Linked DNA regions of Caenorhabditis elegans. The protein of the gene in region 1 purifies or fractionates together with the protein of each later gene. This does not show direct contact. Each region holds a gene or a part of one and is shown on either strand. Other genes may lie near its edges. The genes, in order: arle-14, lin-65 and met-2.

Evidence for each region.
Region 2: the proteins of arle-14 (region 1) and lin-65 purify together in Caenorhabditis elegans (affinity purification with mass spectrometry; one study listed by BioGRID). This does not show direct contact.
Region 3: the proteins of arle-14 (region 1) and met-2 purify together in Caenorhabditis elegans (affinity purification with mass spectrometry; one study listed by BioGRID). This does not show direct contact.

What each region holds. Positions count from the first base shown.
Region 1 is NC_003281.10:5,688,240-5,694,435, forward strand, and holds arle-14 (ARF7 effector protein C-terminal domain-containing protein), read left to right. Parts: upstream 1-4,710; 5' UTR 4,711-4,774; coding exon 4,775-4,831; intron 4,832-4,879; coding exon 4,880-4,975; intron 4,976-5,015; coding exon 5,016-5,340; intron 5,341-5,414; coding exon 5,415-5,551; 3' UTR 5,552-5,696; downstream 5,697-6,196. Other genes in the region: abi-1 (SH3 domain-containing protein), read right to left, coding at 1,990-2,150, 2,635-3,226, 3,718-4,159, 4,206-4,291, 4,339-4,467; B0336.13 (Transcription initiation factor IIA small chain homolog), read left to right, coding at 5,809-6,095.
Region 2 is NC_003279.8:1,752,621-1,760,273, forward strand, and holds the start of lin-65 (uncharacterized protein), read left to right. Parts: upstream 1-2,708; 5' UTR 2,709-2,709; coding exon 2,710-2,842; intron 2,843-6,230; coding exon 6,231-6,917; intron 6,918-7,653. Other genes in the region: Y71G12B.10 (hydroxymethylglutaryl-CoA lyase), read left to right, coding at 1-317, 1,379-1,695.
Region 3 is NC_003281.10:8,373,498-8,384,352, forward strand, and holds met-2 (Histone-lysine N-methyltransferase met-2), read left to right. Parts: upstream 1-1,802; coding exon 1,803-1,898; intron 1,899-1,967; coding exon 1,968-2,255; intron 2,256-2,302; coding exon 2,303-2,967; intron 2,968-3,035; coding exon 3,036-3,532; intron 3,533-4,035; coding exon 4,036-4,649; intron 4,650-4,949; coding exon 4,950-5,818; intron 5,819-5,869; coding exon 5,870-6,005; intron 6,006-6,053; coding exon 6,054-6,580; intron 6,581-6,912; coding exon 6,913-7,135; 3' UTR 7,136-7,366; downstream 7,367-10,855. Other genes in the region: lmbr-1 (LIMR family protein R05D3.2), read left to right, coding at 1-286, 340-718, 770-1,143, 1,191-1,278; R05D3.12 (Putative DNA topoisomerase 2, mitochondrial), read left to right, coding at 7,460-7,583, 7,631-7,883, 8,248-8,491, 8,545-8,625, 8,889-9,437, 9,489-9,681, 9,972-10,491, 10,541-10,735. UniProt on the Caenorhabditis elegans protein: Histone methyltransferase which is required for the mono- and dimethylation of 'Lys-9' of histone H3. This increases the efficiency of set-25-mediated trimethylation of histone H3 'Lys-9'.

The DNA.
Region 1 (6,196 bases):
AACAGGTGAGTTCACATAAAGATGTCTATTTATAACTATCAATGATGACTCTGGGGTTTACTATTTCCGAGGGTTTTTTGCGAAAGAACGGATCGGTAGCCGCCCCTGTGAAGAGAGAAAAAGATTGACGAAATATGTAAATAGAGAATAGACAAGTTGGTGAGCTCTTTCTGTTGTGTGTGTGAGAGAGATAGAGAGAGTACAGAGAGTACAGAGATATGGAAAGACGTAAGAAGAGGAGCGTACCGACGTCACGCCCTGGTAGGGGAGGGGAGAAGGGACACAGGACACTCTGAAAAGATAGAAAATAGAGAAAAAAGAGCCACAAGAACACTGAAATGAAATGTGCTTTGGTTTAAAAATAAGGGAACTTTTGAAAATTGAAAATACTGAAATGCGCGTATGGAGCACCAAAATTTCTTTGCAATTCAGATTGCAATTATTACCAAGTTGCAAGAAAATACAAAAAAAATAACGGTACCCGGTCTCGACGCGACCGAGAGTTTCGCAAAAGAGAGTGCGCCTTTAAAGAGTACTGTAGTTGCGAAATTCTGTTTTACGCAATTGTGTTCAATTATCATCGATATTTTTTCTTTTCGAAAAATTAGTTTTTCGAAAAACAGCTTTAAAAAGGGGTGGATAAAAATTGCAAAAAAAAACTGAGAAACTACGGTAATCTTTAAAGGTACACACTCTTCTATGCCTGAAATTTCCGGTCGCGTCGAGACCAGGTTCCGTAGTTTTTCGTCAGAAATTGTGTTTAATAGCAACAAGATTAGATTTCATTGTTATACAAGAGTTAAGGTCGGAAAAAAAATGTTTATCAAAAAATAAATATGCCAATTCAAATTTGTCCCATGAGGTATTTGAACCGATTTAAATATAATTACTGGTACTTTTTGTATTAGATGCTTTTGAATGGAAGATTAACCGCAGTTTAAGAGCACCAACAAAACAACAAACCGACTTTTCTTAATTGAGGTCTCGTGTTTTTCGAAAAAAAAAACAATGTTTTGTTTTTCTGACTGAAATGTTTCTCGAATTTTCCAATTAAAGCGAATTTTTGTTTCTTTTTATGAGCAGAGTACTCTGCAGAGTTTCATATTTTAAAGTTAAAAGATAAAAAAATACGGTATGCGGTCTCGACACGACACTTTTTTGCTAAATAAAAAGGGATGTGCGCCTTTAACGAGTACTGTAGTTTCAAACTTCCGTTGCTTTTAAATTTTCATGGAGTTTTCATGCAGCATGCAGCAACAAATTTTTGAAAGTACTGAACTCTTTAAAGGTGCACATCCGTTTTTATCCAATAAAAAATTGTCGTGTCGAGACCGAGTACCGTATTTTGGCGCAAAAATGACAAAATTTTGCGTCTGTGCAATAGTTAAGGTCCCACCGCGATCCAAGTCATCTTATTGGAAATCGCGCGGGAATTTCAACTGTTCAAGAATTCTGCTTGTATTTTTGACCTTTGTTCCTCCTCTAAGAAAATCTGTGTCCACCGCCCACCAAAAAAGATACAATTCCCACGCCTTGCAAACTCTTTGGCGTCACTATTCGTCGTGCCGAACATGAATTATTTAAAATTCTAAAATAGAAGAAAAAATAAACTAGAGAGGAGAGGAAAAGAAATAAGAAGGCACAAAAATATAAGAAAATGAATGAATGTGTGTGCATGAAGAGAAAATGAGCAATCTCATTAAATAGGCGAGCCCCTAGGAAAACCAAAAGAGAGTAGTACGGGGGCAGTGAGAGAACGAGCACATGCGTTCAGGAAATGCGTCGAGACTCGAAAATAGCAGTCGTATTGGCTATTTTTAGGCTTCTCACTGCTGCAAACGAGGGGACCACTGCTTCCTTCATGATTACATATCCATCGTTTATTTTTGGCTTTTCACATACAAGTACTCGAGGCAAAAGGCAATATATGAATATGAATAAAAGTGAGATTAAAAGCAATTGATTTAGCAGGGTTAGCATTTCTTGTTATCATACTGGAACTACGTAGTTTCCAGGGAAAAGCCCAGTGACTCCATCCAAGACACCTTCATACCAGTCGTCATCGTTCTTTTTCAGTACGTAGACAATTGCGTTCTCGCGAAGTGTCAACTCGTCTTCTTTTGCAGCATCATAGTCGTACAGGACCCGTACTGAAAAAAAAGATTGGTTTTTTTCGAAAATGTTTAAATTGACAAATATAATTGCTTTGTAACATTAAAAATTCTGCAAAAAATCGCATTTTACAACTTAAGATTTCGATTCTTTTTGGATTTTTTTGATACTCCGATGTTTTTAAAGGAAATTTATTTTTCGTTTTTTTCGAAAATAAAAGCTAAAAAGATAACTTTTTAAAAAATCAAAGCTTATAATTTTCAAAATTTGAAAATTCTCAAAAAAAAAAAATTTGGAGATATTTGAATTTTTCAAAATCACTTTCCAATATCACAAAATTTTTTGTTTTTTTCTCTTTTTTAAATTTTTATTAAATTTAATTTTTTTAAACTTTTTTCGGTTTTTATAATAAATTTTTCACTAACAATTTTAGCCAATTTTCTAAATCGTAAAATAATACAGAAAAGCTTAGAGAATTTTTTTCCGACAATTTTTCAATCAAATTAAAATCTCCAAAAATACCTTTTTCCAAATACTCGTTGGGCATCCATCCAGCACTCGTATCAAAGAGACTTGGTGGCTGACTCGAACTGTACGATTCTGTTCTACCAGCAAACACTCCATACGCTGATGACCCACCAACTGATTCTGGTGGAGGTGGTAGATCATCCATATCATCTTGTGTTGGCATTCGACTTGACATTCCAGTGAGCAAAGAATTTGGTGGAGGTGGAAGATCATGTCGGTTCACCGTTGATTTTCGAATAGTTCCATAATTTTGTTGTTGCATTTGTTGTTGTTGTTGTTGTTGTACCACACTTCCCGGTGCAACATATCCAGTATAATTCATAGCTGGTGGTGGAAGTGGGAATGTTGGTGATTCTGGACCTCCAGCACTACTTTGTGCAGATGATAGTCTGGGAATAGAAAAGCTACCATCCACTGTAGTCCGACCACCAGCTCGAATAGTTCCGTAACGATCAGGTTGATAAATGGAATTATAGTCTGATGATCCGTGTTGACTTCCGCTTCCACCACCACCGCTCATATGATCTCCGAACTCTGATCCGTGGCTCATTTGACGGCCGATTCGTGATTCTGATTGTGGTGTGACCTGTAAAAAGTAATCGGATTATGTTAGAAAAAACTTGATTAATTTTTTGAAAAGGAAATGAGCTGATTTTTTAAAAATTAGTTGTTTAGTCTGAAGTCGACAAAAACTAGCCTGAAACATTGAATTTCATAAAAAGACTTCTAAAAAATTTCAAAATTAATTATGTGATTATTCAATAAATACTGTATCTAACTGCTGTAACAAGGATTTCAGATTCTTATTCAGGCTCGCTCTAAATTTTTTTTCGATATTTTCAGAAGTCTCATTATGAAATGCGGTCGTTTTGGGTCAAAAAAACCGTTTTTTGAATAAATTTATCAATGGTTCACTTTTTTTTCAATATTGAGTGTATTTTTCAGAAAAAAAAGTTTAAAATTTAAAATGTATAAGTTATGTCAGAATTTTTCGCTCCCTTTTTTTTTTGAAAACGTTTTGTCAAAAACACGAAAAGCAAATTATTTTCAGCCTCTATGAATATTTCAAATGTTCACCTGTGGCAACCGATAATCCGATGGAGCAATTGATGGAGCATACGGTCTCATTGTTCTTCCTAACGTAGCCGTTCGTTCACCAGCATAAACTCCATACGCTGGAGATTCATTGTGAAATTGTGATGGAGAACTGCCAGAAATTGATGAAGTTGCTCTTGAGATTGGTGCTGCTCTCGGTGGATCCGATGTTCTGACACCATGCCCTATTCCGTCAAGAACAGAAAAATCGATGGGCGTTCGTTGATATCTCTGCTTTTCATCTGGGATTGCTGGTGCAATGATTTTGGGTTGCTTGAATAATGTTTTATTGGTTGTGAGAGAACCAATTTCTCGTCTTGCAAGCTTCTCTTTATGTACATCAACTACTTGGCTAACATATTGAACTTGATTTGTTAAAGAGTTCACTTTATCGGTTTGTAGAGCAAGCATATCGTGTAAATCTCTGAAAAAAAGATTCATAATTAAAACAAATTAATTGAAATACTTACGTAACCATCTTGTTAATCTGGTAGGCTACGCTGGCGAGTGCCTGGATCGCGAATTTCTTGGATTCCTCTAGCGCAGCAGATTTATTCTGAAAACGTTTAATTCATAAACTTAAAAGAAAAAATTAAACCACACGTTTGATTGTATATAATTATCCTCACAATACGCGGCAACTTGTTGAAGATTCGCATGACTCGTTTCCAGTTGAGCTCGATTATCGGGTATCCGTCGCTCGATGAGCTCTTGAAGATCATTAACACTCATTCCGCCTTCCCCATTATGTAGCATCTGTAACAAACTAAAAGTTAACTAACGTTTAGAAAAATATTTTAAAAATAATAAATTGACAGCAGAAATTTCATGAAAAACACTCAAAGGAACTGAATGAATAAGAAATTAATGAGGGCGTGGTCACAGAATGCAACGCGCGGCGCGCTTTTTCGCAAGTGGTACGCACATGTTATTTCCCGCGAGGAGAGCATATCGAATAATAGAATTTCCTCGGATATATTCAAATTAAATCGATATAAATCATATTTCCTACTAAATTTCTGAACCAATAATTCTAAAAATGAGCTCCAATGACGTTCTCGCACAAATTGCCGGTCTGGCGAAAGCTGCAGCAGAGGTTTGAAATTTGAAATTTTAATGTATTTAATTTTTGTATTTTTTTCAGCTTGAAAATGATTTCTCGACGGATAGTGAAATGCAACAAGATTCCGAGATTTGCGATGAAGTCGATGCGGAGCTTTTTGACGATTTCGAAACAAAGGTACGCTTTTGAATAAAGAAAATTTTAACAAAGTTCCCAGAAGTTGCAGCCATCATCTCGAAAGGAAAGTTCAGGAACGAGCCGTCGAACGAGAATGGCACACCGAGAGCTTCAAGGCCTCCAGTTCGCGAATCCAGGAGATGAAATGTCTCGATTTTTGCCCGACTCTGTGGATATTATTAGCACCAACCGCTCGAAACGTGTAGCCGCGGAGAAGCAGGCGGATCTGAGAGACGAACCTTTGCATCATGACAAAACAGGAAAACTTTCGGTTACCGCAAAAGGACAGACTTTGTTTTTCGATCTTTGTGATTGTCTCGTGGTGGAGTGTGATGGGTGCCATTGGCCATGTAAGCAGTGCAAATGTAAGAGATGATATTCATTAACTAAAAATATTTGTTCTAAAAATTCTTTAAACAAAGAAAAATGCATTTTTCAGCTCGCAAATGTCTCATCGGATGTCGTCAAAATCGAAAAGAAATGGTGATACGCGTCGAGGAGATGTACACAGTGACGGAAGCCCCGGGCCCTGTTGTCAATATTAATCCTTATTTTCCGGGCCAAATCAAGGATTAAATGCCTTATCGTTTTATCAATTTTAACCTCTTATGTATGTTCCCCTTTTTCTTGTACTGGTATTATCTATTTTGAACTGTTTTATACATGTCTTTGTGAAAAATTCAATCTCGATGTTCATTAAAAACTAAAGATATTGTTTGTTTTTGTTCTTTTTTGTCATACTAATCCATAGTTTCTCGGTTGATAATCTGAAAATATATCTGGCATCTTCTCGAGAAAAATTTAATCCAACGATATTTCAGAATCTTCCAGAAATGTCGTCATACGCTCTTTACCGAGGGACCACACTGGGTCAGGCACTCGATAAAACTCTTGAGGACATGGAATCCGAAGGACTTCTCACGAAATCTCTTGCTTCGAAAGTTCTGCAACAATTTGATAAAAGCATGAACAAGCAAATCTCGCGGCTTCCAAAAGAGAAAATGAATTTTTGTGCGACACAACTGCTCACTTATCGATATTGTGATAACGTTTGGACGTTTATTCTCAATAATGTCACGTTGAAAGATCCCCAGCGATCGTTTGATGAGCCTATTGATAAGTGAGTGTTTCTTTTATTTGTATTAAAAATAAAAAATCTAGAAAAAAGCAATTGTTTATTAATTTTCTATAAAAATTTTTGTTTCTCGATGATCTATAATT
Region 2 (7,653 bases), on another chromosome or scaffold:
CGAAGAGATTGCCGTATTTGGAGCAGCTTCAGACGCGTTTTCACTGAAAAATGTGAATTCCAATGTGGAAGATAGTCTGAAAAAGCTCATGGAAGTCACAAAAATCGCCCTCGAGAACAATATTCGAGTACGTGGCTACGTTTCAGTCGTCGTTGGATGCCCGTATCAGGGAGCTGTACAGCCGGAAATGGTGGCCAGAGTCGCCGAGAAGCTTCTAGAATCTGGGTGTTATGAGGTCTCGCTGGGCGACACTATTGGCGTTGGAACAGTGAAAACTGTGTCGAAAATGCTGGATACGGTGCTGAAAAGTGTGCCAGGTAGCGGATTTTTTTAAATATTTTATATTAAAATTTCGATTTTTCGAGTGAAAAACTACAAAAAAAGTAGTTTCCCGCAGTTTTCCCGGCTTTTTTCGCATGAAAACCAATCGATTTCAGTCAAATAACTCACGAAACGATAAAAATCTCAATTTTCGTTGCGAGACCCACAATCTGTGGAGAAATTGACCGAATATCGTGATAAAAAAATTCAAAATTTTTTTCTAGACTATATGATTTTTTTTTGAAAATTGAAAAATCTCAGTTTTTACATAATTATATTTGAATTTTCGCCTATTGGATTTGACCGATGGAGCGCGCTTGCATTATTTTAATCAATTAATTTTATTTATTCTCATTATTCGACTGATTTTCTTCTTTTCTGTTTTTTTTTTGTTGGAAAATGAAAGAAATAAAAAAGACAGATGCAAAATTTTTGTTAAAAAATAACTGAAAATGCCTTAAACTGTAATTTTTTTTGAATTCTGACGACGACAAACCTGAAATTAGTATATTTCACAGTTTTACAAAATATATTTTTATTTATAAAACTGTAAAATATACTAATTTCAGGCTTGCCGTCGTCAGAATTCAAAAAAAATACAGTTTTAGGCATTTTCAGTTACTTTTTAACAAACATTTTGCATATGTCTTTTTTATTTCTTTCATTTTCCAACAAAAAAAAACAGAAGAAATGAAGAAATTCAGTCGAATAATGAGAATAAATAAAATTAATTAATTCCAATAATGCAAGCGCGCTCCATCGGTCAAATCCGATTGGCGGTAATTCAAATAGGAATTAGGGGAAAACTGAGATTTTTTCAATTATCAAAAAAAAATCTTATAAAATCTAGAAAAAATTTTTTGAATTTTTTTATCATGATATTCGGTCAATTTCCCCACAGATTGTGGGTCTCGCAGCGAAAATTGAGATTTTTATCGTTTTTTGAGTTATTTCAATGAAAAATCGATTGATTTTCAGGCGAAAAAAGTCGGGAAAACTGTGAAAAAAAATTATTTTCGAAAGAAAAAAAAATTTCAAAAAATCACCACCATTTCAGCCGAAAAACTCGCAGTTCATTTCCACGACACATACGGTCAAGCTCTCGCAAATGTGCTCATTTCCATCGAAAAAGGCATCCGAAGTGCGGATTCAAGTATCGCAGGGCTCGGTGGTTGCCCATATGCGAAAGGAGCAACTGGAAATCTTGCAACTGAAGATTTATTGTATTTTTTGAAAGGAAACGGTTTTGAAACTGGTGTCAATTTGGACAAAGTTGTCGAAACTGCAAAATGGTTTAATGAAGCCGCCGGATATGATAAATGGTCGAGAGTTGGAGCTGCAATGATGGCTAAAAAGAGCAAAAGCTGCTGCTGAAAATGTGTGCTGTAAAAAATTTAAAAAAATTTTTAAAAATTCGTGTAAAAATTACCCCGGTTGTTTAGGAAATAATAAAGAGATTAGAGACTTTTTTCAGATTTTTATTTTCTTGAGTTTTGCCGGTTTTCAGCCGATTTCTATCTTTTTTTTCTCATTTTTTGTGATTTTTTTTCGCTAGTTTTCCCCTCAATTTCTCGATTTTTTCACGATTTTTTGAAAATTTTCGGAAAATTGAATTGTTTGCAAAAAAAAAAATTCAAAAACCGCATTTTTCTCAGAATTTTTCTGGGATTTTGTACAAATTTTTGAATTATTTCTCAAAAAAAAGCAGGTTTTTACCGATTTTTTTGGTTTTTTCCCCAAAATTTTCCGATTTTTTCCGAGTTTTGCCGGTTTTCAGCCGAATTCTACTCTCGATTTTTTTACGATTTTTTGGAAATTTTCGGAAAATTATTTGAAAAAAAATCAAAAAACCGCATTTTTTTTTCTGAATTTTCTGGGATTTTGTACGAAATTTTGAAATTTTTCTCGAAAAAAGCAAGTTATTCCCCAAAATTTTCTGATTTTCCCCCAAAAATTTAGATTTTTCCCGAGTTTTCCCCAGTTCTCAGCTGATTTCTATATTTTTTTCTCAATTTTTGTGATTTTTTGTTGCTAGTTTTCCCTTCAATTCCTCGAGTTTTTCACGATTTTTTGGAGATTTTCGAAAAATTGTTTGAAAAAAATCAAGAAACCACATTTTTCTCTGGATTTTCTCGAAATTTGCACAAAATTTTTGAATTTTTTCGTAAAAAAAAACTGTTTTCCCCAAAAATTTCAGATTTGTTTTTGATTTTTTTCGAGATTTTCCCCTGATTTCAAAGTTTTTTCCTGAATTTTTCGAATATTTCCTGAAAAATCGGCTATTTCTAACTTTTTAAATAATTTTTTTTGAATTTCTGACTTTTTAAATCCTTTTTTTTTTGCCATTTTTTCCCATCTAAAATTCTAAATTATTCAAAATTTTACAGAATGTCAGAAGTAATCGACGAAAGTATCTTAAATACAGAAGCTTCAGATGATCCAATACCTCCATTAAATGATGATCAGATTGCTGAGCTTTTGGGTGAAGATGGAGAAATTATGGAGATAACTGAGCAGAAAGGTGAGATTTTTTGAGTAAAACCTTGAATTTTGCACTAAAAATTTGCAATTTTCGCTAAAAATTACCTTAAAACTCGAAAATTGGAATTTCTAGCTGAGAAAATGGCCAAAAATGTCGAAAAATGCCTCCGAAACCTGTGAAAAAAAAAACCACCAAAAAGGTTTCTAGGCCACCAAAAAGATTTCTAGGCCACCAAAAATGTTTCTAGGCCACCAAAAATGTTTCTAGGCCACCAAAAATGTTTCTAGGCCACCAAAAATGTTTCTAGGCCACCAAAAATGTTTCTAGGCCACCAAACAGGTTTCAATGCCACCAAAAATGTTTCTAGGCCACCAAAAATGTTTCTAGGCCCCCAAAAAATTTTTCTAGGCCACCAAAAAGGTTTCTAGGCCACCAAAAATGTTTCTAGGCCACCAAAAAGGTTTCTAGGCCACCAAACAGGTTTCAATGCCACCAAAAAGGTTTCTAGGCCACCAACCAGGTTTCAATGCCACCAAAAATGTTTCTAGGCCACCAAAAAGGTTTCTAGGCCACCAAAAATGTTTCTAGGCCACCAAAAATGTTTCTAGGCCACCAAAAAGGTTTCTAGGCCACCAAACAGGTTTCAATGCCACCAAAAATGTTTCTAGGCCACCAAACAGGTTTCAATGCCACCAAAAAGGTTTCTAGGCCACCAAAAAGGTTTCTAGGCCACCAAAAATGTTTCTAGGCCACCAAAAAGGTTTCTAGGCCACCAAACAGGTTTCAATGCCACCAAAAATGTTTCTAGGCCACCAAACAGGTTTCAATGCCACCAAAAATGTTTCTAGGCCACCAAACAGGTTTCAATGCCACCAAAAATGTTTCTAGGCCACCAAAAAGGTTTCTAGGCCACCAAAAATGTTTCTAGGCCACCAAAAATGTTTCTAGGCCACCAAAAAGGTTTCTAGGCCACCAAACAGGTTTCAATGCCACCAAAAATGTTTCTAGGCCACCAAACAGGTTTCAATGCCACCAAAAATGTTTCTAGGCCACCAAAAATGTTTCTAGGCCCCCAAAAAATTTTTCTAGGCCACCAAAAAGGTTTCTAGGCCACCAAAAATGTTTCTAGGCCACCAAAAAGGTTTCTAGGCCACCAAACAGGTTTCAATGCCACCAAAAAGGTTTCTAGGCCACCAACCAGGTTTCAATGCCACCAAAAATGTTTCTAGGCCACCAAAAAGGTTTCTAGGCCACCAAAAATGTTTCTAGGCCACCAAAAATGTTTCTAGGCCACCAAAAAGGTTTCTAGGCCACCAAAAAGGTTTCAAGGCCACCAAAAAGGTTTCAATGCCACCAAAAATGTTTCTAGGCCACCAAACAGGTTTCAATGCCACCAAAAAGGTTTCTAGGCCACCAAAAATGTTTCTAGACCACCAAAAAGGTTTCTAGGCCACCAAACAGGTTTCAATGCCACCAAAAAGGTTTCTAGGCCACCAAACAGGTTTCAATGCCACCAAAAATGTTTCTAGGCCACCAAAAAGGTTTCTAGGCCACCAAAAATGTTTCTAGGCCACCAAAAATGTTTCTAGGCCACCAAAAAGGTTTCTAGGCCACCAAACAGGTTTCAATGCCACCAAAAATGTTTCTAGGCCACCAAACAGGTTTCAATGCCCCCAAAAAATTTTTCTAGGCCACCAAAAAGGTTTCTAGGCCATCAAAAATGTTTCTAGACCACCAAAAAGGTTTCTAGGCCACCAAAAATGTTTCTAGACCACCAAAAAGGTTTCTAGGCCACCAAAAATGTTTCTAGGCCACCAAAAAGGTTTCTAGGCCACCAAAAATGTTTCTAGGCCACCAAAAAGGTTTCTAGGCCACCAAACAGGTTTCAATGCCACCAAAAAGGTTTCTAGGCCACCAACCAGGTTTCAATGCCACCAAAAATGTTTCTAGGCCACCAAAAAGGTTTCTAGGCCACCAAAAATGTTTCTAGGCCACCAAAAATGTTTCTAGGCCACCAAAAAGGTTTCTAGGCCACCAAAAAGGTTTCAAGGCCACCAAAAAGGTTTCAATGCCACCAAAAATGTTTCTAGGCCACCAAACAGGTTTCAATGCCACCAAAAAGGTTTCTAGGCCACCAAACAGGTTTCAATGCCACCAAAAAGGTTTCTAGACCACCAAAAAGGTTTCTAGGCCACCAAACAGGTTTCAATGCCACCAAAAAGGTTTCTAGGCCACCAAACAGGTTTCAATGCCACCAAAAATGTTTCTAGGCCACCAAAAAGGTTTCTAGGCCACCAAAAATGTTTCTAGGCCACCAAAAATGTTTCTAGGCCACCAAAAAGGTTTCTAGGCCACCAAACAGGTTTCAATGCCACCAAAAATGTTTCTAGGCCACCAAACAGGTTTCAATGCCCCCAAAAAATTTTTCTAGGCCACCAAAAAGGTTTCTAGGCCACCAAAAATGTTTCTAGACCACCAAAAAGGTTTCTAGGCCACCAAAAATGTTTCTAGACCACCAAAAAGGTTTCTAGGCCACCAAAAATGTTTCTAGGCCACCAAAAAGGTTTCTAGGCCACCAAACAGGTTTCAATGCCACCAAAAATGTTTCTAGGCCACCAAAAATGTTTCTAGGCCCCCAAAAAATTTTTCTAGGCCACCAAAAAGGTTTCAATGCCACCAAAAATGTTTCTAGGCCACCAAAAAGGTTTCTAGGCCACCAAAAATGTTTCTAGGCCACCAAAAATGTTTCTAGGCCACCAAAAAGGTTTCTAGGCCACCAAACAGGTTTCAATGCCACCAAAAATGTTTCTAGGCCACCAAACAGGTTTCAATGCCACCAAAAAGGTTTCTAGGCCACCAAAAATGTTTCTAGACCACCAAAAAGGTTTCTAGGCCACCAAACAGGTTTCAATGCCACCAAAAAGGTTTCTAGGCCACCAAACAGGTTTCAATGCCACCAAAAATGTTTCTAGGCCACCAAAAAGGTTTCTAGGCCACCAAAAATGTTTCTAGGCCACCAAAAATGTTTCTAGGCCACCAAAAAGGTTTCTAGGCCACCAAACAGGTTTCAATGCCACCAAAAATGTTTCTAGGCCACCAAACAGGTTTCAATGCCACCAAAAATGTTTCTAGGCCACCAAAAATGTTTCTAGGCCCCCAAAAAATTTTTCTAGGCCACCAAAAAGGTTTCTAGGCCACCAAAAATGTTTCTAGACCACCAAAAAGGTTTCTAGGCCACCAAAAATGTTTCTAGACCACCAAAAAGGTTTCTAGGCCACCAAAAATGTTTCTAGGCCACCAAAAAGGTTTCTAGGCCACCAAAAATGCTTCTAGGCCACCAAAAATGTTTCTACGCCACCAAAAGCCGCCTCAAGCCCGAAAAATTTGAATTTCCCGCTCAAAAAATCTAAAATTTTCCGATTTTCAGACGAATCAGATGATGTGGTGATGCTGGACGACGATGATGACGACACTCCGGAACCGATTCTCGTGATTGATATGGATGAGGATGAGGATGTTACTACAGATGGTCCTGAATCTCAGGAAGAGCTGGCTGCAGATGCTCCGGCTCCAGGAGCTCCAGAAGCTTCAGCTCCAGCTCAAGAAGCCTCAGAAGCTTCAGCTCCGGATCAAGAAGCTCCAGAAGTTCAGGATGTTCCGGATTCTTCGGGAGCTCCAGATGCTTCAGCTCAGGCTTCAGAGGCTTCTGATGCTTCAGCTCCAGAAGTTCCAGGATCTACAGAAGCTCAGGATGCTCAGGATGTTCCGGATTCTTTGGGAGCTTCAGATGCTTCAGCTCAAGAAATTCCAGAAGCTCCAGAAGCCCCAGAAGCTCCAGAAATCGCCGCTGAAATCGACGAAGAAGTGCTGCTCGCCGAGCAAAATGGAGTTTTGGACGAAGGATTTGATGAGACTGACGATATTATCATAGAAGAAGAAGCTGTAGAAGAAGCTGAAGCCGTGGAGCCACCAATTAACACTGAAAATCAGGAAAACGCGCTGGAAATGCTCGAAGAGCGCCTCAAGAAGAATGAAGAAAAGGAAATTGTGGAGAAAAGTGATGTGAAGCCAGAGGATGAAGATATTATACATATGGAGACGGATTCAGTTGAAAGTATGGGCTTTTTTAGCTGGAAAACAGGAAAAAAGAGCAAAAAATTGATACATTTCCAGCTTAACCAATCTTTTTTTGAGTTGTAAAGCCTGAAAATTGAGATTTTTGTACCAACTTTTATGATAAAGCTGAAAAAAAAATTAATTTTTTGACGAATTTTTAGCGGAAACCCTGAAAACATGTTTTGTCTGAAAAATACAGAAAATCGTCACTTTTTACAATAAATTCGAGATTTTTAGCTCAAAAATACAACATTATAGTGCAAAAATCTCAGAAAAAGCCAAAAATTTCATTCAAACATCTCAAAAAAAGCAGAAATTTTACTCAAAATATCTCAGAAAAAGCTAAAATTTTCCCAAAAAATCCCAGAAAAAGCAGAATTTTCATTCAAAATTCCCAGAAAAAGCTGATAATTTACTAAACAATCTCAGAAAATGCTGAAATTTTACTCAAAAGTCTTCATAAAAAGCTGAAATTTTACTTTAAAAGTTTAGGAAATGCTGCAATTTCACTTAAAAATCCCAAAAAAGCTAAAATTTTCCCAAAAAATCCCAGAAAAAGCAGAAATTTTACTCGAATATCTCAAAAAAAAAAAAGCTGAAATTTCACTCAAAAATCCCAGAAAAAGCTAAAAATTTACTAAAAAATCTCAAAAAAAAAAACGCTAAAATTTCACTCAAAAATCTCAGAAAAAGCTAAAATTTTACTCGAATATCTCAAAAAAAAAAACTGAAAT
Region 3 (10,855 bases), 2.7 Mb from region 1:
CGGATGATAAGTCAGCGTTTGGTGATGATGGAGATTTAGGAAACTCAACACCCACCAAAAATAAAAAGAAGAGGAGGAAACATGATTATGCTGCGACAACACCTATAGTTCGAAAATGGGATAAAGATGTTCCAAAAAAGCCAAAGAATCCAAATTTCGACTATAGGAATCTGAAAGAGTATGTCAAAGAGGCTCGCCGGCAGAGGTCATCCCTTTCTGAATCTGACGATTATTGGTTTGGGTCACCTCCAAGGAGCTCATTTTCGGCAAATTATTATTCTTCAAGGTATTTAATTTTTGTATGTTTTAAACAGTTTTATTTAACAATGTTGATTTAAGATTTTCTCGCTGGAAACACAATTCCGAAACTGGCCTCAATCCATCCTCATCACTTCTTGTGGATCCTTTTGCTTCTGGAGATTTCCATGAAGCATCTTCGTCTGAGGCATCATCAACACCATTATCACCTGCTCGTCGCACCAAATCCGAGGAAGCCATCTGGAAGCCAGTTCTTCACACAGTAAAATCCTCGAAATTATACAAAAGAGCAATTGAGAAGCAGGGGCGACTTGTGAAACTTTTCATGAGTCTTCGATTCCCAGTAGCGGCCGCTGCTTTGTTAGTTTTGACGACATGCTCTCTAATCATGGTGGCTACAAATACCTTGAAATTGTTATTCGGGTATCGCAGTTTACCTGTCTATGCTCAATACATTGAGGTAAGCTTCGGAGATTTTAAATATAATTTCTAAAAGTACATAATTTTTCAGGTACACACTCGTCATTCATTCGGACTTTTTGGGGCTTGCATCGAAACTCTTCTCATTATTTACGTGATGATCACATCTTTCGTTGGGCTGTACTCCCTTCCGGTTCTTCGTTCTCTTCGACCTGTTCGAAAAGATACTCCAATGCCAACGATAATTATTAATTCTTCAATAGTTCTTGTTGTTGCATCCGCTCTCCCAGTAGCTGTTAACACAGTTGGAATGACAACTTTTGATCTTCTCGGCTCCCACTCATCGCTCCAATGGCTTGGATCATTTCGAGTCGTTGTTGCCTATAATACTCTATTCGTCGTGTTGTCTGTCGCATTTCTCTTCAATCAATTGACTGCTTCAATGAGAAGGCAAATCTGGAAGTGGTAAGCTGTGCAATTTAAAGTTTAAATTCTTATTAATTTTTTTGCAGGATATGTCAACTACGATGTGGAATCAGACGGGAGAGTGATGCGGATGAAACCATTGAGATCCTTAGAGGCGATAAGAAAAGCAATTGAATTTCTTTCCTTTTTCAACACTTCTTACCCATGTTCATCATTTTAATCTTTTCATTACAAAAACAAGGTCCTATTTTTTTTCTCGGGTACTACTCGCCTTTTCTAATAATTCAGAATCATCAATTTTTGCCAACCTCTAGCTTTACATGTCTGTTTTTCATCATTTTCTCTCAAGCATTCTCCTAATATATTATGTTCCCTAGTATTTCCCCTCAGTCAGCAATTTTCTCGTCGTCGAAACCGTTTAGCTTTACTTTCAATCAAAACGTGGAACATTTTTCAAACTATTTGAAGCCAAAAAAAACCAGGGCTTTTGTATATGTACCATATTTTCCCTCTGATTTTCTTTATCGCCTTCTCTTTTCATGTAGAATAACTGAAATACAAACCATTTTAATTTTTTCTTTTAATTATCAATACTGTCCGTATAGGTAAAAATTATTTCTTCAGGTTTGAAAAAATCCGAAATATGTATCTGCAACTCTTCAGGGCATTGCCTCAATTAATTTTTATCTAATATTCAGATGGACCAACAAGAACCATCGAATAACGTAGATACGAGCAGTATTCTTTCGGATGATGGGATGGAAACACAGGAACAAAGTTCATTCGTCACTGCTGTGAGTGAAATTATTTAAAATTTCGCTTCGGAGATTCATTGTCATATAATTCAATTTATCGATTTTCAGACAATTGACCTAACAGTGGACGACTACGATGAAACAGAAATACAGGAGATTCTGGATAATGGAAAAGCAGAAGAAGGAACAGATGAAGATTCTGATTTAGTTGAAGGGATTCTTAACGCTAATTCAGATGTCCAAGCGCTCCTTGATGCGCCATCTGAGCAAGTAGCTCAAGCTCTTAATTCGTTCTTCGGAAATGAGAGTGAACAAGAAGCTGTTGCAGCACAAAGACGGGTTGATGCGGAGAAGACTGCCAAAGATGAAGCTGAACTCAAGCAACAGGAAGAGGCGGTTAGATTGCAATAAAGGAAACAATAATAAAATTATTTTATTTTCAGGAAGATCTTATTATAGAAGATTCGATAGTCAAAACTGATGAAGAAAAACAAGCAGTTCGAAGACTGAAAATCAACGAATTTTTATCGTGGTTCACAAGGCTCCTTCCAGAACAATTTAAAAATTTCGAATTCACAAATCCGAACTATCTGACAGAATCTATCAGCGATTCACCGGTTGTAAATGTCGATAAATGCAAGGAAATTGTCAAATCGTTCAAGGAAAGTGAATCACTTGAGGGACTTTCACAGAAATACGAATTAATTGATGAAGACGTGCTAGTCGCTGCTATTTGTATTGGCGTTCTCGATACCAACAACGAAGAAGATGTCGACTTTAATGTTCTATGTGATGATCGTATCGACGATTGGAGTATAGAAAAATGTGTCACTTTTCTTGATTATCCAAATACTGGATTGAATTCGAAAAATGGACCGTTGAGATTCATGCAGTTTACTGTCACATCACCTGCATCAGCAATTCTCATGCTCACTCTGATTCGATTACGCGAAGAAGGGCATCCGTGTCGATTAGATTTTGATTCAAATCCGACTGATGATTTACTCTTGAATTTCGATCAAGTGGAATTTTCTAATAATATCATTGATACGGCAGTCAAATACTGGGATGATCAGAAGGAAAACGGTGCGCAGGATAAAATTGGCAGGCGAGTATTAATCAAACTCACAACTGTTTTGAAAGTATTTTCATAATTATCACTTAAATACCTTTTAGAGAGCTCAACGACTTCTTCCACGAAATCGAGTCAACATCAGCAGAATTCAAACAACATTTTGAGAACGCCGTTGGCAGCCGTAATGAAATAATTCAACTTGTCAACGAGAAAATTCCCGATTTTGATGGCACTGAGGCTGCTGTGAATGAGAGTTTTACATCCGATCAACGAACCGAAATTATCAACTCTCGTGCAATAATGGAGACATTAAAAGCCGAGATGAAGCTCGCCATCGCCGAAGCTCAGAAAGTTTACGACACCAAGACTGACTTCGAAAAATTCTTCGTTTTGACAGTTGGAGATTTCTGTCTGGCTCGCGCCAATCCTTCTGACGATGCAGAATTAACATACGCCATAGTTCAGGATCGTGTGGATGCAATGACCTATAAGGTTAAATTTATCGACACAAGTCAGATCAGAGAGTGTAACATCAGAGATTTAGCCATGACTACGCAGGGAATGTATGACCCGAGTTTGAATACATTTGGTGATGTTGGTGAGTTTTAAGTTAAAATTGATATTTAATATTACATCTGTTATGTAGAATAAGGGTTTCGGTTTTTCGATTTTATTAGAAAATCGAAAATTTTAGTTTTTGTGTTAAATTTAAAAAAATCAAAATTTGATTCACTATCAAGTCCGTTTTTCTCTTCTCAAAATTGACAAAATTTTGATAATCTAGAATTTTCGTCCCGTATATTTTTCAACGAAAAACCATTTAAAATTTTCCATGATTGGATTTTCGGTTGATCTAGAAAAAAATGGTGCTAAACACTAAATTTGAAAAAGTTTGAAACAAATTCAAATCCAAATATTTCATGAAAAACTTGTAAAATATATTATGTACACAAAAAAACGTTTCAAGTGTAGCAGTTGTTTTTTGTGGTCCCAAAAAAGCAGATGTTTGTCAGAATCCATTAAACAACAAAAAAATCCAAAAACTCAACCTGGCCTAGATATCAGTTTCATGATCGAAGTATCTAAAATCATTGTTTTCAGGTCTTCGAGTTGCCTGTCGCCAAGTTATTTCCTCGAGCCAATTTGGAAAAAAAACAATTTGGCTTACCGGTACAGCTGCCGGACGTCGCAGAGCTCATAGATCCGATTTTCTAATTTTCTTCGACAACGGAACCGATGCATACGTGTCAGCTCCGACAATGCCTGGTGAACCAGGTTATGAAGTTGCTTCTGAAAAGAAAAGTGTATTTTCTCTCAAAGAAATGATTGCGAAGATGAATGCTGCTCAGATTGCTATTATGGTTGGACAGCCAGTAGGAAAGGAAGGAAATCTGGATTATTTTTTGACATTTCATTGGATTCGACAATCTCACAGATCAGCGTATATTCGGGATTTTATGAAAGAATTTCCGGAATGGCCACTTCTCAAGATGCCAGTTGGAATGCGAATCTGTTTGTACAATTCTCTTGTTGATCGACGTAAGAAAATGGTGACAGTGATTGGAACTGATCGAGCTTTTGCTATTGTGAGACACGAAGCACCGAATCCATTGGCTCCTGGGAATAGATGTACAGACTTTCCGTGCAATGATAGAAATCATCAGCATATTGACGAGAAAATCTATAGAGGATCTCATAGATTGGAAGGCGCAGCGGTAAGATTTTATTTGAAAAATTGATACAAAACGAGGATTTTCTAAAATTATTTTATTTTTATTTGATTTGATTTCTTATAATTGATAATCAAGGTTTTTTGGATGTTTTGTTAGAGAAATCGAAAAGGGAAACTTCCAAAAAAAAGCTGTGAAATCAATTTTTGCTTTTAATAATATCCAAGTTTCATCTTCAAAGTTTTTTCTATAAAATGGACACAAACTTTTCAACGTTTTCAAAAAAAAGGTTCCGAAAATATGAAAAAAGGAGAAAGAAATCATGAAAATTTTGTATTATTTCAGCACAAGAAGCACATGATCTCGACAAATAACAATCTGTCGCAACGCAGAAAAGACCAGCTTCAATCACAGTTCGAGCCAACCGACATGATTCGTTCGATGCCAGAGAGGAATCACCAACAAGTCGTTAAAAAGAAAACGACGGGCACCAATCAGAATGTCGCTTCGACAAATGATGCAAAATCGAAGAGAGAAATTGAAATAAGAAAGAAAAATCAATTCTTATTTAACAAGATTATTGTTCCAATACCCGTCCTAACACCATTGGAAAATCTCAAGGCTCATGCTCAATGTGGTCCAGATTGTCTACAGAAAATGGATGCGGATCCGTATGAAGCAAGATTCCATCGAAATTCACCAATACATACTCCTCTTTTGTGTGGTTGGAGACGAATTATGTACACAATGAGTACTGGAAAGAAGCGGGGAGCAGTGAAGAAAAACATTATTTACTTTTCTCCATGCGGAGCCGCTCTTCACCAGATCAGCGACGTCTCTGAATATATTCATGTCACCAGAAGTTTATTGACGATTGATTGTTTTTCATTTGATGCACGAATCGATACTGCCACTTATATTACTGTTGACGATAAATATTTGAAGGTTGCTGATTTTTCGCTTGGAACCGAAGGAATCCCAATTCCACTAGTGAACAGCGTGGATAACGATGAGCCTCCATCATTGGAATATTCGAAACGACGATTCCAATACAATGATCAAGTGGATATATCGAGTGTTAGCCGAGATTTCTGTTCTGGATGCTCTTGTGATGGTGATTGCAGTGACGCATCGAAGTGTGAATGCCAACAATTGTCCATTGAAGCAATGAAACGACTCCCCCATAATTTACAATTCGACGGACACGACGAATTGTATGAGAGTTCAGAAAAACAAAATAAATTTTTAAAACTATTTTTTTTCAGAGTTCCTCACTATCAAAATCGTCTTCTCAGCAGTAAGGTTATCAGTGGACTCTATGAATGCAACGATCAGTGTTCATGCCATCGAAAGTCTTGTTACAACAGAGTTGTTCAGAACAATATCAAGTATCCTATGCATGTGAGTTTATTTAACGATGATACATACCAATTATTGTTTTTTCTTCAGATCTTCAAAACTGCTCAATCCGGATGGGGAGTCCGAGCTTTGACGGATATTCCTCAAAGTACGTTCATTTGCACGTATGTAGGTGCTATACTGACGGATGATTTGGCTGATGAACTAAGAAATGCGGATCAATACTTCGCTGATTTGGACTTGAAGGATACCGTGGAGCTGGAAAAGGGTCGCGAAGATCATGAAACTGATTTTGGTTACGGAGGAGACGAGTCAGATTATGATGACGAAGAAGGAAGTGATGGTGACTCCGGTGATGATGTAATGAACAAAATGGTGAAACGTCAAGACTCTTCGGAGAGTGGTGAAGAAACAAAACGGCTGACAAGACAGAAAAGAAAGCAATCTAAAAAATCCGGTAAAGGAGGAAGTGTGGAGAAAGATGACACCACTCCAAGAGATTCAATGGAAAAGGATAATATTGAAAGTAAAGACGAACCCGTTTTCAATTGGGATAAGTATTTTGAGCCGTTTCCATTGTATGTTATAGATGCAAAACAGAGAGGAAATCTTGGAAGGTAAGATCACAATTTTATTCATTAAAAAAATTTTTTAGAGATTTTGCTTTAAATGATAAAAAATGGACAAACCAACCGTTTGCCTCTTCTTTTGGTTTATCAACCTTTCTCTATGGAAAAAATTCTGAAAAATTAACAAACAGTATTTCACGTTGAAAAGTGAAGAAAAAAGCAAAAAAAGGAAACAAATTTCAAAACGGTTCTACTCCATCTTAAAAAAACTAAAATTCGTAAAAAGTCATTTGGTATGTTTTGGAGACTATAATACAATTGAGAAAATTTGAAAAACCGGCACTCCAAAGATACAATCATAAATTTTCGATAACTTTCAGATTCTTGAATCACTCTTGCGATCCGAATGTGCACGTTCAACACGTCATGTACGATACGCATGATCTTCGTCTTCCATGGGTCGCGTTTTTCACACGAAAATACGTGAAAGCCGGCGATGAGCTAACCTGGGACTATCAATATACTCAAGATCAGACGGCTACCACACAACTCACATGCCACTGCGGAGCTGAAAACTGCACCGGCCGTTTGCTGAAAAGTTAAAGAATTGTTGTTATTTCCTTCCCAGTTATGTTTTCCTTTTTTTTTAAGTATTTATTTATTTATTTAATTTTTATTTTGTTTATTGTTCAATCGTTTAAAATCTCCCTTTGAAAACAGCATCTCATATGTATGATCTAAACACGTATTTACCTCGTAAGGGTTTGCCAAATAGTTTCTTTGGTTTTCATTTTGATTTTCTCTGCGAATAAAATGTTTTAAAAAAGACATTATATTTTTTAATAGTCAGTACAGTTTTGATGTCTCCAATCTATTTCAGTTTACAATTTTAAAATATAGAATATATATATTTAGGTTTCATAAGTTATGCATCGATTACGGGTTCTACGTCACTTGAAGTTCTGCATTTCCACGTCACATAGGACTACTGTAGTTTTAAAAAATACTCGTTCATTTTGTAATAATATTCCTTCTACTAGTTTTGCTTCTGGTAATAATCGAATTTCAAAACTTTAGCTAAAATATTTCTTTTTGAAGAGGCTGCAGCAAAATATGAAAAGAAAAGTCCAACTGAACATGTATTACTTCGACCCGATACATATATTGGAGGTGTCGCCATGCGAGAAGATCAAATTATTTGGCTCAGAGACTCAGAAAATAGAAAAATGATTGCAAAAGAAGTCACTTATCCACCTGGATTATTGAAGATTTTCGATGAGATTCTAGTGAATGCGGCTGATAATAAAGCAAGAGATTCCAGTATGAATCGGTTGGAAGTATGGTTAGATAGGTAAATATATTGCAGGAATTTATGTTCTGCGACAAAGCTACGATACGCTGTCTCGCCACGACAATTGTTTTGGTAAATGCATGAAAATCGACGTGCACCTTTAAATAATACTGTAGTTTTAAATTCTCGTTTCTTCAATTTTTCATAAATGGTTTTCCGATGAATATATGATTTTAAAAAAATCTAAAATTCACATTAATTTATAAGAAACAAAATTCCTCAAAAACGAAAGTTTGGCGATACAGTACTATCTTTTTCACTTTTTCGCATTAAACAAAAATTTGTCGTGTCGAGACCGGGTACCGTTTTTTGTTGCACAAATTCGCGTCTTCGTAATGTATATCCTTAAAAATAAATTTTTAAGAGAAACCGCACGAATATCGGTATGGAATAACGGAAGCGGACTTCCAGTGGAAATTCATCCAACCGAAGGAATTTATGTTCCAACGCTTGTCTTTGGAAATTTATTCACTTCATCAAATTATGATGATTCTGAAATTAAAACAGTTGGTGGAAGAAATGGATATGGTGCAAAACTTTGTAATATTTTCTCAAAGGAATTTATCGTTGAAACAGTGGATACAAGAATAAAACGACGGTTTAGACAGGTTTCTGATAATAAAATCGAGGAATTAATTGAATTAATTTATTAAATTTTTAGAAATGGTATGACAATATGAAAAAGTGTAATGAGGCGGAAGTTGTCGAGATTTTAGATGAAACAGTCAAAGACTACACTAAAGTATGAAGTTTCGATAGGCTCCTCCCCCAAACCATGGGTCTCGCTAGGTATTTGGTGGAAAACAGGAATTTCAGACGTTTTCAATTAGTTTCGCCGATTTTGTCAATTTTCAAACGTTTACCGTTATGTTTTTGATGAAATAAAAAAAATTCTTAAAAACATGCGAAAATAATTAAAAACGTTTAAATTTCCGATTTTGCCGTCAAATACCAAATGAGACCCATAGGATCTCATAATAAAGATAAAAACCATTTTTGTTTCAGGTCGAATTTGTTCCTGATCTTGAACGTTTCCAAATAGATAAACTCTCCGATGACGTCATCGATCTTATCGGAAGACGTGTATTTGAAGTTGCTGCAACTCTTCCACGAGATGTTGATGTTTACCTAAATGGCCAAAAATGTGATGTAGACGGATTCGAAGATTATGTAAAAATGTTCAATGACTCTTCGTCTCTTCTATTTCTTCATCCAACACCTCGATGGCATGTGGGCGTGGCCAAACGGAATAATTTCTTTGGAGAATCTCATGTGGTCCTTCCGAAAATTGTTAGCTTCGTGAATAATATCAACACGGAGAAAGGGGGAAGCCACGTGGATTATGTGATGGATAAAATAGTGAATATTATCAAGCCAATCGTAGATTCAAAGTTAGGAGATCCTACGAAAAGTGTGAAACCAGCAGTTATCAAGAATAATTTGTCTATATTTATCAATTGTCTCATTGAAAATCCATCTTTTGAAAGTCAAACTAAAGAAACTTTGACGACGAAAGCCAAGAATTTTGGATCAATTTTTGAATGTGATGCGAAGGTTAGAAATATAAAATTAGTATATTCAGTACTATTTTTAAAATTTTTTCAGAAAACAGCAGAATGGGCGGAACAGAGTGGATTAATAGAGGATATTGTGGAAGAAGTATTGAATATGAAAAAGAAGAAATTACCAGGAAAACGAGTTTCAGTGTCTTCAGTTCGAGATATTGTCAAGCTAGAAGACGCTGAATGGGCTGGAATTACGGGAACGGCAGAGAAGTGCACATTGATTCTCACAGAAGGTATCATATTAACTAGGTCCCTGCGTCTTTAAAGATTACTGTAATTTCCACCGATTTTCTATAGTTTTCCGTCAAAAATGTATTTATTTATCAAAAAACGATTAAACATTTACTAGGTTTTAATATATATTTTAATAGTTAGGTTGTTTTTAAAGAAAAACTAGAAAATCGGTGGAAATTACAGTACTCCTCAAAGGCGCACATCCGTTTGTATTTCACAGAAAATTGCCGTGTCGAGACCAGTTACCGTATTGAAACTAAGAATTTCTATTCAATAAACACATTTTCAGGTGATTCGGCGAAAGCTTTGGCTCTTGCCGGCTTAGAAGTTCTGGGACGTGAAACTTATGGAGTATTTCCACTGAAAGGAAAACTGTTGAACGTATCAAATCTAGATGACGCCCGTGCATCGAAGAATGAAGAAATTTCGAATCTTCTCCGAATTCTTGGATTGAAATTTGAAGATTCGAACTCAATAACTCGCGAGTCTCTTCGATACGGTCGACTCTTGATTTTGGCGGATCAGGATGAGGATGGCAGTCACATCAAGGGACTAATTGTTAATTTTATTCATAAATTCTGGCCAAGTCTTGTGCATACAGATGGATTCATTCAATCATTCCGAACACCACTACTGAAAGCAAAGAAAGGAGATAAAGTTAGATCATTCTTCTCAATGAATGAATATCGGAAATGGGCAGATGTTGAAGAAGGAGGAAAATGGAAAATTAAATATTATAAAGGACTTGGAACTTCAACTTCGAATGAAGCAAGAGAATATTTCAGTGATTTAGATCATCATACTGTTAAGTAAGTAACTTCCAATACGGAGAAAATATCAAAATTTTATTTTTTTCAGTTTTAAATACACTGGAACAACAGATGATGATGCTATTCGAATGGCTTTTGATAGAGATAAGAGTGACGAGAGAAAAGAATGGATCAGAAGATCAGAAAATGAGATTACGAATGAAGATGATGGTAAAACTGAAATAAGTTATCAAGAATTCGTTGATGGGCAACTTATGCAATTTGGAATGGTCGATTTAAAAAGGTATCCCAAGCAAGGCCGTCCAACGAGAAAATTTTTGCAATTATCAAGAAACGGGAATTCTTGCCAAAAAAAACCAAGAAAAAACTAATTCTTTCGAAAATATTTATTAACATAAAATGA